3 linked regions of the Cricetulus griseus genome follow. The protein of the gene in region 1 interacts with the protein of each later gene in a pairwise test. Links are inferred from orthologs where the notes say so. Each region holds a gene or a part of one and is shown on either strand. Other genes may lie near its edges.

The links.
Region 2: the proteins of Ube2k (region 1) and Birc7 interact in binary tests that used the Homo sapiens proteins (3 or more experiments, as listed by UniProt). The link is inferred for Cricetulus griseus from reciprocal best matches to the Homo sapiens genes UBE2K and BIRC7.
Region 3: the proteins of Ube2k (region 1) and Trim31 interact in binary tests that used the Homo sapiens proteins (3 or more experiments, as listed by UniProt). The link is inferred for Cricetulus griseus from reciprocal best matches to the Homo sapiens genes UBE2K and TRIM31.

What each region holds. Positions count from the first base shown.
Region 1 is NW_023276807.1:132,628,310-132,631,738, reverse strand, and holds part of Ube2k (ubiquitin-conjugating enzyme E2 K), read right to left. Parts: intron 1,915-3,429; coding exon 1,815-1,914; intron 1-1,814. UniProt on the Homo sapiens protein: Accepts ubiquitin from the E1 complex and catalyzes its covalent attachment to other proteins. In vitro, in the presence or in the absence of BRCA1-BARD1 E3 ubiquitin-protein ligase complex, catalyzes the synthesis of 'Lys-48'-linked polyubiquitin chains.
Region 2 is NC_048599.1:975,516-979,267, reverse strand, and holds the start of Birc7 (baculoviral IAP repeat-containing protein 7), read left to right. Parts: upstream 1-1,367; 5' UTR 1,368-1,432; coding exon 1,433-1,799; intron 1,800-3,086; coding exon 3,087-3,186; intron 3,187-3,552; coding exon 3,553-3,631; intron 3,632-3,712; coding exon 3,713-3,752.
Region 3 is NW_023276806.1:228,838,653-228,842,304, reverse strand, and holds part of Trim31 (E3 ubiquitin-protein ligase TRIM31), read left to right. Parts: intron 1-942; coding exon 943-965; intron 966-1,261; coding exon 1,262-1,377; intron 1,378-2,513; coding exon 2,514-2,588; intron 2,589-3,468; coding exon 3,469-3,510; intron 3,511-3,652.

The sequences.
Region 1 (3,429 bases):
TTATTTAGACCTCAACAGGTACTGGCACTCAAATGCTCATACCCAAAGACACACATATATATATAATTTTAAAAATAAGTCCTTTTGTTTTGTTCTTAAAGAACTTAAGGATAAAGAAATTTGGGCCGGGAAGATAGTTCAGCAGCTAAGGACACCGCATAAGCCTGACAAGTTGAATTTGATAACTAAAAGCCTGGCAGTGGTGGCATACACCTTTAATCCCAACACTCAGGAGTCAGAAATAGGTGGATCTGTGACTTTGAGGCCAGCCTGATCTACAAAGCAAGTTCCAGGACAATTTGAGCTACAAAGAGAAACCCTATCTCAAAGGAAAAAAACAAATACAAGAACAGTTTGAAGCCTGAAACTTAGGTAACATGGCTGCTGTGAGGTACCTATGCCCACGCTTAGACATCAAGCAAGTATGTTCGCAAGCACACATACACAGGGACAGTTCTAAAAAATATAAGGATATTCGATAAGAAATGTTTCCCAAAGGAGAAACAAGGAAAACAGTATAAAAATTAAAATGATTACAATCCCAAAAATTCATGAATTCGAATAACATTATGAGTTAAAACATGTTCAATAGCTTAAATCATGGAAAACCTCTGAAATGTAAGTGTTAGGTCATGAGTGAATAACAGTTGATTTGGGTTGTTAGTTTTGAAACAGGGTCTTACTTTTTAACTCTGTCTGGTCTGGAATTTACTTAGTACAGCAGGCTGACCATGAACTCACAGAGGTCCACCTGTGTCTGCCTGCCAATGGCTGGGATTAGAGTACACCTCCACACAGGCAGGATCTGGGGTTCAGAGGTCAAGCACGGTGCTTTGATCATCCAGGGAGTGCATACAATGGAAGGGGAACTACAGTAGGAGCCAATAGCTCTCATTAAAAGTGATTAACAGGCCGGGCACTGGTGGCGCACGCCTTTAGTACCAGCACTCAGGAGGCAGAGGCAGGGAGATCTCTGAGTTCGAGGCCAGCCTGGTCTCCAGAGCGAGTGCCAGGATAGGCTTCAAAGCTACACAGAGAAACCCTGTCTCGAAAAGGAAGGAAAAAAAAAAAAAAAAAGTGAACAACAATGGCCAAAAAGGCAGAGGCAAGTGGATCTTTGTATTTTCAAGAACAGCCAGCCAGGAGGACTGTTACACAGATAAACCATGTCTTAGAGAGACAGAGACAGGGAATCAACTTTAAAAATAGGGAGAGAAGAGGAAAGTATTTCATAAATTGAGAGATGTTTAACAATAAAAATGCTCAGTAAATCAGAATACTTTAAAGTAGAGGTTGGTGAACTAAAACATAGATTTTAACAATTTAAACCTTTCAAACCACAGACAGTGTGACTGGATATCAAAATAAACACATGGTTATGACTCTGTTCCTATAAAATGAGATTGCCCAAACCAGCCAGTGTGAATGTACCTTACCTTACCCTTAGAGGCATTAAAGAAAAGGAAAAAGTTCTCCATTCAACACCCATGAAAACCATTGCAATGCCACTACCATCAGCTCCACTTCTGTGGTGGGAGGTTATTATGATCACCACCAGGAAGAAGCCAGTAAGGTATAGAAAGAGGGTTACAAAAGTGCACAAATGATAAAGTGCATGTGGTAAATGCTAACTGTAGAATCTACACAGGTGCTCACTATGGAATTCAATCATACATAAGGGAAAAGCATCTGTCATGTATCCAATGAAACCATTTCCAAATTTAGTACCAATATAGAATGTTCATATGCTGACATCAAATATTAAAATCCATATACACAGGTCTAAGAAAGTCTTTCAAAAACTTCCTTCTTACCTGATTTGCTACTACTGCATCTTGGGGGTCATCTGGTTCTGCAGCTGCCAACAGTGCTTGCAATGACAATAATACCGTGCGCAGAGTCATTGCTGCTGCCCTAAATTTCAAAATAGGAAAACATACCACTTAAAGGGGGTGCTGAACGACCTAAACAAAGTGTATGTTTTCTGAATTTAAATAAGAGTTAACTAATGTGTGTATAATTGCCATTTTTTTCTTACAATGAGCCTATTTCTTCGATAATTTAAATCACTGTATTCTTATCTGACTTCACTTTTTCTTTTTGTTACTCTTACCTATCTTGTAAGCTTTATCTAATGGTTCCATTTATAATTCATTCTCTTCTTAAACAGAATATTTTAGGTTTTAAGTGTATGAGTGTTTTGTCTCCATGTATGTGTGTGCACCTGAGTGCCTGATGCCCAAGAAGGTCAGAAGAGGGTTCTGGATCCCCTAGAACTCCGAGTTACAGATATCATAAACTGCTGTTTGGGTGCTAGGAACCAAAGCCAAGTCCTCTGCAGGAACGCATGCTCTTACCCACTAAGCAGCCTCTCCAGTCCCTTACCCATATTTCTTAGTAAAGAGATAATTAAAGTTATTAATATTAACATGGGGATTTTGAAAGTTTTATTGTTTTGAATTGTAAGAATATTCATTTATGTGCATATAAGTACAGGTGCCTACAGAAGCCAGAAGCAGCTGATCCCCTCCAGCTGGAACTACACACAATTGTATGTCATCCAACATGGGGATTGGAAATTCAACTTGGGTCCTTCAAAGAGCAGTAATGCCTTTAACCACTGACCCACCTCTCCAGCCACCTCTTTTAATAACACGCTAAATAAAACAAGCAAATAAAGTACCCTTTAGAAGTTCCAAAATAAGTCTGTTATATTCCAAAATAGGACAAATTTTTGTTTAAAGTATCATCACTTGGGGTTGGAGAGATGGTTCACAGTTATGCATGTGTACTGCTTTGGCAGAGAACCTAAGTTTAGGTCCCTACATAAAGGGTTGTGAGTTACACTGAGACGTGTCTCAGACAACAGCAGCAAACACCAAAAAACAGGCTGACCTGCTAAACTAGCATTTAAGACACAGAGTTCTTTTAAAAGCTTTGAAAACACAGCTGGATTGCCGGACATTAGTGGCGCACGCCTTTAGTCCTAGCACTCAGGAGGCAGAGGCCAGCCTGGTCTCCAGAGCCAAGTGCCAGGATAGACTCCAAAGATACACAGAGAAACCCTGTCTCGAAAACAAAACAAAACAAAACAACCACAAAGGTGGGTAGTACTAGCCTTTACTCTAAAGATCACTGTAGGCAGAGGCAGGCAAGAGTTCAAGACCAGCTTGGCCCACAGTTTTAGCACCTCAGCTACACAGATGCTGTCCTAAAACAAAACCTTTAAAAACAGCTACATAGTTCTATATCCTAGCTGACAAAACAAACCATGTTTTCTTTTTCCTCCCCCCACCTAGACCTAGGTGTTCAATTTCCTAAGAGCATCAATGTTAATTTTCCACCAAGAGCTGTAATACTAAATTTTAGCACAGAAGTTGATAAGATGTCTAAGTGGATAAAAACACTCATGACACCAGCCTCAAGACT
Region 2 (3,752 bases), on another chromosome or scaffold:
GGGAGAAGCCACGGTTGGTGGCTCCTGGTAGGTTGGCCATGTTTCAGTGGATGTTGCCACACCCACGAATATAGGGACAACACAAACTGGACTCAGTGGGTAAACATTTAAAAATAAATAAAAAGAGGAGATGAAGTTGGGATGGGAGTGGAAAGACAGGGATGGACATGGAAGGAGGTAGGGGGAGAAGTAGGGGTGAGTATGACCAAAAAGAACTGTCTGGAGTCTGCCTTCCTTCCTTCCTTCCTTCCTTCCTCCTTCCTTCCTTCCTTCCTTCCTTCCTTCCTTCCTTCCTTCCTTCCTTCCTTCCAACTGTGTTTCTCTGTGTAGCCCTGGATGTCCTGGAACTCATTCTGTAGATGAGGCTGGCCTCCAGCTTAGAGATTTGCCTGCCTCTGACTCCTGAGTGCTCACCATGTTAAATGTTTCACCAGCGTGAAGAGCTACTTACAGGTGAGGAGTTTGTGCGGCTATCTGGGTACAGTGCCAGCTTGGGCAGAGCTGGCTCCTTGGTCTTCTTCTCTGCCCCTTCCAGTAGTCTTGAGGACTTTTGTTTTACTAACCTGTAGCTATGGCCTCTCTGGGGTTATGCCTCTCCTCTCTGTTCTGTTAGGTCTGTGACAATGGAGTCCCTCACCTGGGGCTTGTTAGTGGAGACCAGGTGCCTGGAACCAGTCCTGAGGCAGAGCTCACTTAGGGAGGCAGTATCCCCTGTAACAGTGCAGATAGAGACCTGTGCTGGCCTGGAGCAAACACAATCTAAAACTTGAGCTCCTCCCAGACCATGCCCCACCCTTGATTTGACTCTAGCCTGTCCAGATAGAAAGAGGGCAGCCTGAGACCAGTTAGGATAGGCAGGCTGACTCTGACCCAGGGCTGAGCCAAACAGGGATTGCCTACATGCTAGGGACAGGGATAAGCAGGTGATATCATCCTTGAACATCAGGACAGGCTTGATATGGAAGGAATGTGGTTGGGGTTGCATACTGTCCTGGACAATCTAGCTTTCTACCTTGCAGGCCCCTGTCTGGATTTATCTATCTCTACCCAGAACTGAACCCTGAATAGCTGGATTCCGCCCCCCCCCCATTTTTTTGTCAGTACCTATGATTTGCTTCCAGAGGCTTAGAGGATGCTGTTAGAGGGATCCCCAAGCTCTGCCCCTCCTCCTATTTAGAGATGCTTTCAGCACAGTGGAGTACCGCCTTTGTTAGGCGCCTGCCAGGAGGCCCCATGACACATTCACTGCAGAGAGCACGTGGCCACCACTCTGGCCTCTTTCAGAAAGTGGCACATCCCTGGACACACTACCACATCTGAGCATCTAGTGGTGTCTGCCTGTAGTTAGGAGCAGGGGTCACCACAGCTTCTAGAAAGGGCTGCTAGAGTCAGGAGCTGGAGGTAAGTCACCAGGCACATTCCAGGCTTGGTGATGTTCTCTCCTGAAGACTTGCTCAGAGCTGCTGTTCTCTCCATGGGGCCTGAGGGTAGGGCCAGGGACTTATTCTGTAGCCCAGAACTTAGTCACAGGGAAGATAGCAACAGCCTCACCCAGGAGCAGTACAGATCCCACCGCAGACGGAGCCATGTCTCGGGTCAGGACTGCCTAGATGGGCAGATCTTGGGCCAGTTGCGCCCCCTGTCAGAAGAGGAAGAATCCACTGGAGCTACCTTCCTTGGGGAGCCCGCCTTCCCTGAGATGGATTCAGAGGATCTCCGCCTGGCTTCCTTCTTCGACTGGCCATCCACTGCTGGGATTCAGCCAGAACCATTGGCTGCTGCTGGCTTCTTCCATACAGGTAAGTCTTGGGGTCTTTCTGCTGTGGTCTGGAGGCTAATTAGCACTCTTCCAGGCTGAGAGTTCTGTCCATTCCTGCCCTGAGGGAGGAGCTGATGAAAGGTAGTCCTGTTATTTCTGCCTGGCCAGGGCTTGGGATCTAATGTAGTCAAAAGCCACTATGAGATCATGGGCTTGTGGTGGCCTTGTCCAGAAGGCCACTCAGCAGGTGGTTTCACCTGAATTAGATGGTTCTGTGGATTCCCCATACTACTTCAGGGATCTCCACTGCTATCTGGGAGCCTTGCAGGCTTGGTTATAGAGGTGATTATCCCCTTTCATTCCAGGACAAATGGAGGAACATGTACCTATGGATGCAGTGGTTAGCTTAAACATCCCCTGATTTGTACCCCTGTAGGTAATCCTCCAGGCTTCCCATGTACCAGGCTAGTGCAGGGAAATCCTTTGAGTAGCTGTTTTAGTTACAAACAGACAACTTTAGTTTGGGCTGCTCCTCACTCACGGTAGGGGTCAGGTTCCAGCTTTTTCTCTTTCTGGTTGAGGAAAAAGAGGCAGGGAGACCCACGGAGAGGCTTTGTAAGTAGGAGCATAGCCAGAGAAACTATCTCCGATGAGGCTAGCAAGGGAGGAATTATTTATTTTCCTTGCACTGGTCAGGCAAGAGCCCAAACTGATATAGGGCAACTGGACACTGGTCAGGAAGGGTTAATGGCTGGGACAGTTAGAGCCTCCTTGAAAAGAAATGTTCCTGGGGCCAACATATGTTAGGGGGATTTTGTGGATTGTGGGTGCCTGCTGTGGGAGATGCCTGTAAGTCCTGTTTATAATTTCTGCACAAGGTCATGAAGGACACATCTCCCCATGGTTGGAGGAGGGGCAGAGAGCAGAGATGAGGAAGGCCTGAACCACTAAAACCAAGCCTAATTATAAACCAGTGTGGGAGGGGTCACCTCCTTATCCTGTCACTAGGAGTCCTTTTTGGATGCCCCGAATTTCCCAGGCTACAGATGCTCTAAGCCTTTGGCCCTACCCTACCCCCATGCCCTGAGAGCAACATAAATGCTAGCTCAGCTTTCCAGAATACTCTAGGGCCCTCCTGACACATGACCCAGGCATTGTCTTCATTTGTCTTTGAGACAAGAGAGATGCCCATGTGTGCCTTGCTCCCTCCTTGTCAACCTGCTGGTAGATCCCAGCCCTGCCTGTCCAAGCTCTGATGGCCATGGAGGGACACTCTGGGGATGCCAGCTAGGTGGAGTTACTAGCCATGTGTCTCTGCCATACCCAGGCCAGCAGGACAAGGTGAGATGTTTCTTCTGCTATGGGGGTCTGCAGAGCTGGGAGCATGGGGATGACCCTTGGACAGAGCATGCCCGATGGTTCCCCAGGTAAGGACCAGGTGGACTGATGCAGGTCCCATCAGTGAAAAGGGCCCTAAAGAATTCTGTTCAGCCTTCCCATCTCCCACAGTCCCAGAACATCAGGATCTCTCGAGGGTAGCAGACAACCCCACTCTTCATGGAGCTCTCTCTGGAGGGGCTGCTACAATGGTCATTCTCCCATTGCTATCCTTTTCTAAGTGCTCAGAGCCCATCTCCTGATAGCTTTCCCAGGTCTCCCTAGGGAATATAGCCATGACTATCTGCCATAGGGCATAATGGGTTGCACGGGAACAGAAGGCATGGCTTCCGGGGCTTGAATATGACAGTGGGGTTCTAAGAGTCCAGTCCTGCCTCCTGAGATTTCTTCTCCAGGTGTCAGTTCCTGCTACAGTCAAAAGGAAGGGACTTTGTGGAAAGAATCCAGGCTTGCACCCCCTTGCTTGGCTCCTGGGTAAGTCCATCTGTCCTCAGGACTCAGGTGGGTTGGCAGTCTCTGCTATGTTTACTTATGGCATTGATGGTTTTCCAACAGGACCCATGGGAAGAGCCAGAAGATACAGTCCCTGCTACCG
Region 3 (3,652 bases), on another chromosome or scaffold:
CCTGAGGGATTTATTTCCCTGAGGCTCCCACCGACCCCATCATAGAATCCACGACCTTTATCTTTCCTACGTTAAGTGAGCACTTTTGATAGAGCTCCACTCCAGGTTTTAAAGGGAAGCCTGTCATTCCCCACAAGGCTCCACTCATACTATCTCTGACACAGTGTGCTGTTCTCTCTAATGACCTTTACTACTTTTTATTGCCTTCTGGAACAAATCCACCAACTGCTACTCTTCTTCACCTAACCCAGAAGTTCTCAACCTGTGTGGCTAGATCCCTCTTGTGGGCGGGTTCCACTGACTCTTTCACAGGGGCCACCCGAGACTATGGAAAATATTAGATATTTTCATTCCAAGTTATAAGAGTATCAGATTTACAGTTATGATGTAGCAATGAAAATAATTTTATGGTGTGGGGGGTGGGTCACCACAACATAAGGAACTATATTAAAGGCTAGCAGCATTAGGAAGGTTGAGAACTGAAACCCCTCCTGTAATTCAGGACACTGAGGTAAGAGGACTGCTGCTAGTCCAAAGCTGACATGAGCAAAGATCAAGACACTGTCTCAAACAGCTGGGCACAGTGTCTCACACGTGTAATTCTAGCACTCCAGAGGTAGGAGGGTTCCCTAGATCACTAGAGTTCAAGGTCAGCTAGGACACACACACCCATACAAGCACACGGCACACACACACACAGGCACACGCACACAGGCACACACATATATAGAGGCATGTTCACACACAGAAACACACATGCAAACAGAGGCATGTTCACACACAGAAACACACATGCATACAAAGGCATGTTCACACAACAGGCAGAAGAGAGAAAGGACGGAAAACTGGGGTGTCCTCACTCTGCTTCTAGCTGAGTCTGAACCCCTTCTTTGGCACCTGTGACTCTGGCAAGCTCTGATAAGTTCTCTCTTTCTCTTCCAGGGCATCATAGACAACTTGAGCAGGTATGATGGGCGTCCCAGTGTACCATGCTTTCTGGTTCACTTGCACATACAACATTCAGCCTATTTCCAAATATGTTCACATCCCCCAATAACTCTGCTATAAATGACTTAGGCTGCAGATGGGGAAGACCAAACTGGCCACAGCAGCACAGTAGCTTTTTTTATTTTCACCATATTCCCATCCTGGCCTCCTGACACTCAGCTTCCTGGCTCTACCCCAGAAACCACCTCCCAGACCCTTGCTGCCCACTCTCTGTCCCCTGAACTCACCACTCAGATCAACATTATCTTCACAGGAGTGTGGAATTTAAGTTTCTCAATCCAACCCCAGTTCCTGAGGACCTGGAGAGAAAAACCAGGGAAGCAATAGCAAGACATGCAGTCATCATAAAAAGCCTGGAGGGATTAAAAGGTGAGGTGTAGCTGCCACTGCCTGTGCTTATCTGCCTCAGGATTCTTTCCATCACCCCAGACGCTGCCTGAACTCTCTTGGTGCTAGCCCCTAAGCCTGTCAGAAGCTAAGCTGAAAGCTGGGCAGTTTCAAAGCATCATTATCCAGAAATTTCTCATGCTACAGCCCCAAAGCCAAAGCACTTCTTCTCTGGGAATTTTTCCTTGATTACTAGGTGGTGAACATGGGGCTAGAAGCATGTTTCCAATTTGTTAGCTGCTGGCCACATGTACCCCTGGGCACCAGAATTACAGCATTCACACATAGTGCAGGTAAAGAATAAACATTGACTCTGAAAGGCTTAATATTAAAATAGAACATAAGATATAATAATGAAAACAAAAGCAAACGGAAGTACTGTCCAGGGTAGTCTCTTATGGAAGAGTTCAATGGCCTTCCCATTTGAGCCTTCTAAGCATCTGGGACTCCAGCACCCAGCACTGTGCCTGGTAGCAGTAAGCCTTTATCCTACAAGCTGAAATGACAGTGTTTCTTAACATTCTGAGCTGAAGAAAACACTATTTAAATTCATTTCTTTTTTAAAGTTCTATTTATTTTATTTGTATGGGTGTTGTGTATGCATGTATCATGTGCTTGTCTGGTGCCCATGGATGTCAGAAGAGGTTGTCAGACTCCCTGGGGTTGGAGTTCCAGTGGGTGCTGGTAGTCGGACTGGGTCCACTGGTGCTTTTAACTACTGAGGCCTCTCTCCAGCCCCCTTTTTCTTTCCTTTTGAGACACTGTGTAAATATCCCAGACTCTGAAACTCGCTACATACCGTGGACTAGCCCAAAAGTTGTCATCCTCCTGCATCAGCTTCCTGGGTGTCAGCATCTTTTAGGATTGCAAAATGGTATCTAGAAAATTCAAAATTCAGTGGCTCGTGTTTGTGGCTCTTAATACCTTTGTTCTGGACTGAGCTGTACTGGACAACCACCTCAGGGAGACCCTAGGGCAGCTCTCCCTGTTTGGCTGCCTTCTTGGTCCACTGAGACTATGAGAGGAACACCAATATCACTTCTCCCTGCCCATATCAGCAATCAGGGATTCACTGTGTGGTCCTGGTTGCCTCTATATCCTTCACCCTCTCCTCGTAGACAACCTGAAGACTGAAGGGAAGAAAGATAAAAGCGCGTTCCTGGACAGCCTGAGTAAACAGGAGATGGAAAGATGTAAGTGTGTGCTAACCCTGCTGTTTGGGGAAAGTGAAGAATACAAGAGGAAGAGTTCTCTCTTTAGGGGGAGGACTGAGGGAGGAAGGTCCAGTGTGGGTGAACACCAATAAAGAACAAACTTACAGAATTGTTTTAGATTTTATGTGTAGCCAATCAGAGTGACACCAAACCAAAGACCAGAAAAAGCAAAGCAGCCAGCCACGAGACAGTTCTTATTTCTACCAAGGCTTGGGGCCAAAAGGGGTAATTCTGTCCTCAGCATGACTGCAGACTGAATACACTACACTCCTGTCTCCACCTGTCTTATATTCCTGCCTAGTGCTGGGATTAAAGGCATGGGATCCCAAGTGCTGAGATCACCTTGGTATGAGCTCTGTTTCTCTTTTAGACTGATTCACTCTCATGTAGCCCTTGGTGGCCTTGAACTAACAGAGATCCATCTGCCTCTGCCTCCCGAGTGCTGAGATTAAAGGTGTGGCCACCCTGCTTGTCCTCTACGGCTAACTAGTGGCTTGGGTGTGTGGCTAATTAGTGGCACTTAGTGTGTGTGTGTGTGTGTGTGTGTGTGTGTGTGTGTGTGGCTAACTAGTGGCTTAGCTCTTAACTAGGTGTGTGGCTAACTAGTGGCTTAGCTCTGCACTCTGATCTTCAGGCAAGCTTTATTTGTTAGATTACAGACAATGTATCACTACACAGCAAAACTGAGGAGTGGAGGAGACCCACTGAGACAATATCCTGTAATGATGTCATCTGAGGTGGTTCAGCTATGAGGGTAGCTAGGAAAAAGGTCAGGTTCAGCCTGCCATCCTCAATATGCCTTTTAATTTATAACCTCTTGCTATCAACCTAAAATTTGTTTTCTCTCTCCAATTTCTAGGGCACCTGTTACAGAAGAATAACTCAGACTTGCACAACTCAGGTAGGAATACTGCCTGGCACACTGGTCTTCCTGTAGGGAAGCAAGGGGCCTCCAGGTCTGCAGGTCAAATGTTCTGTCTATTCACAGCTCTGATACAGCAGAGGAGAGTTAGAGGCCAGAACCCAGGAAGAGCTACCTAACA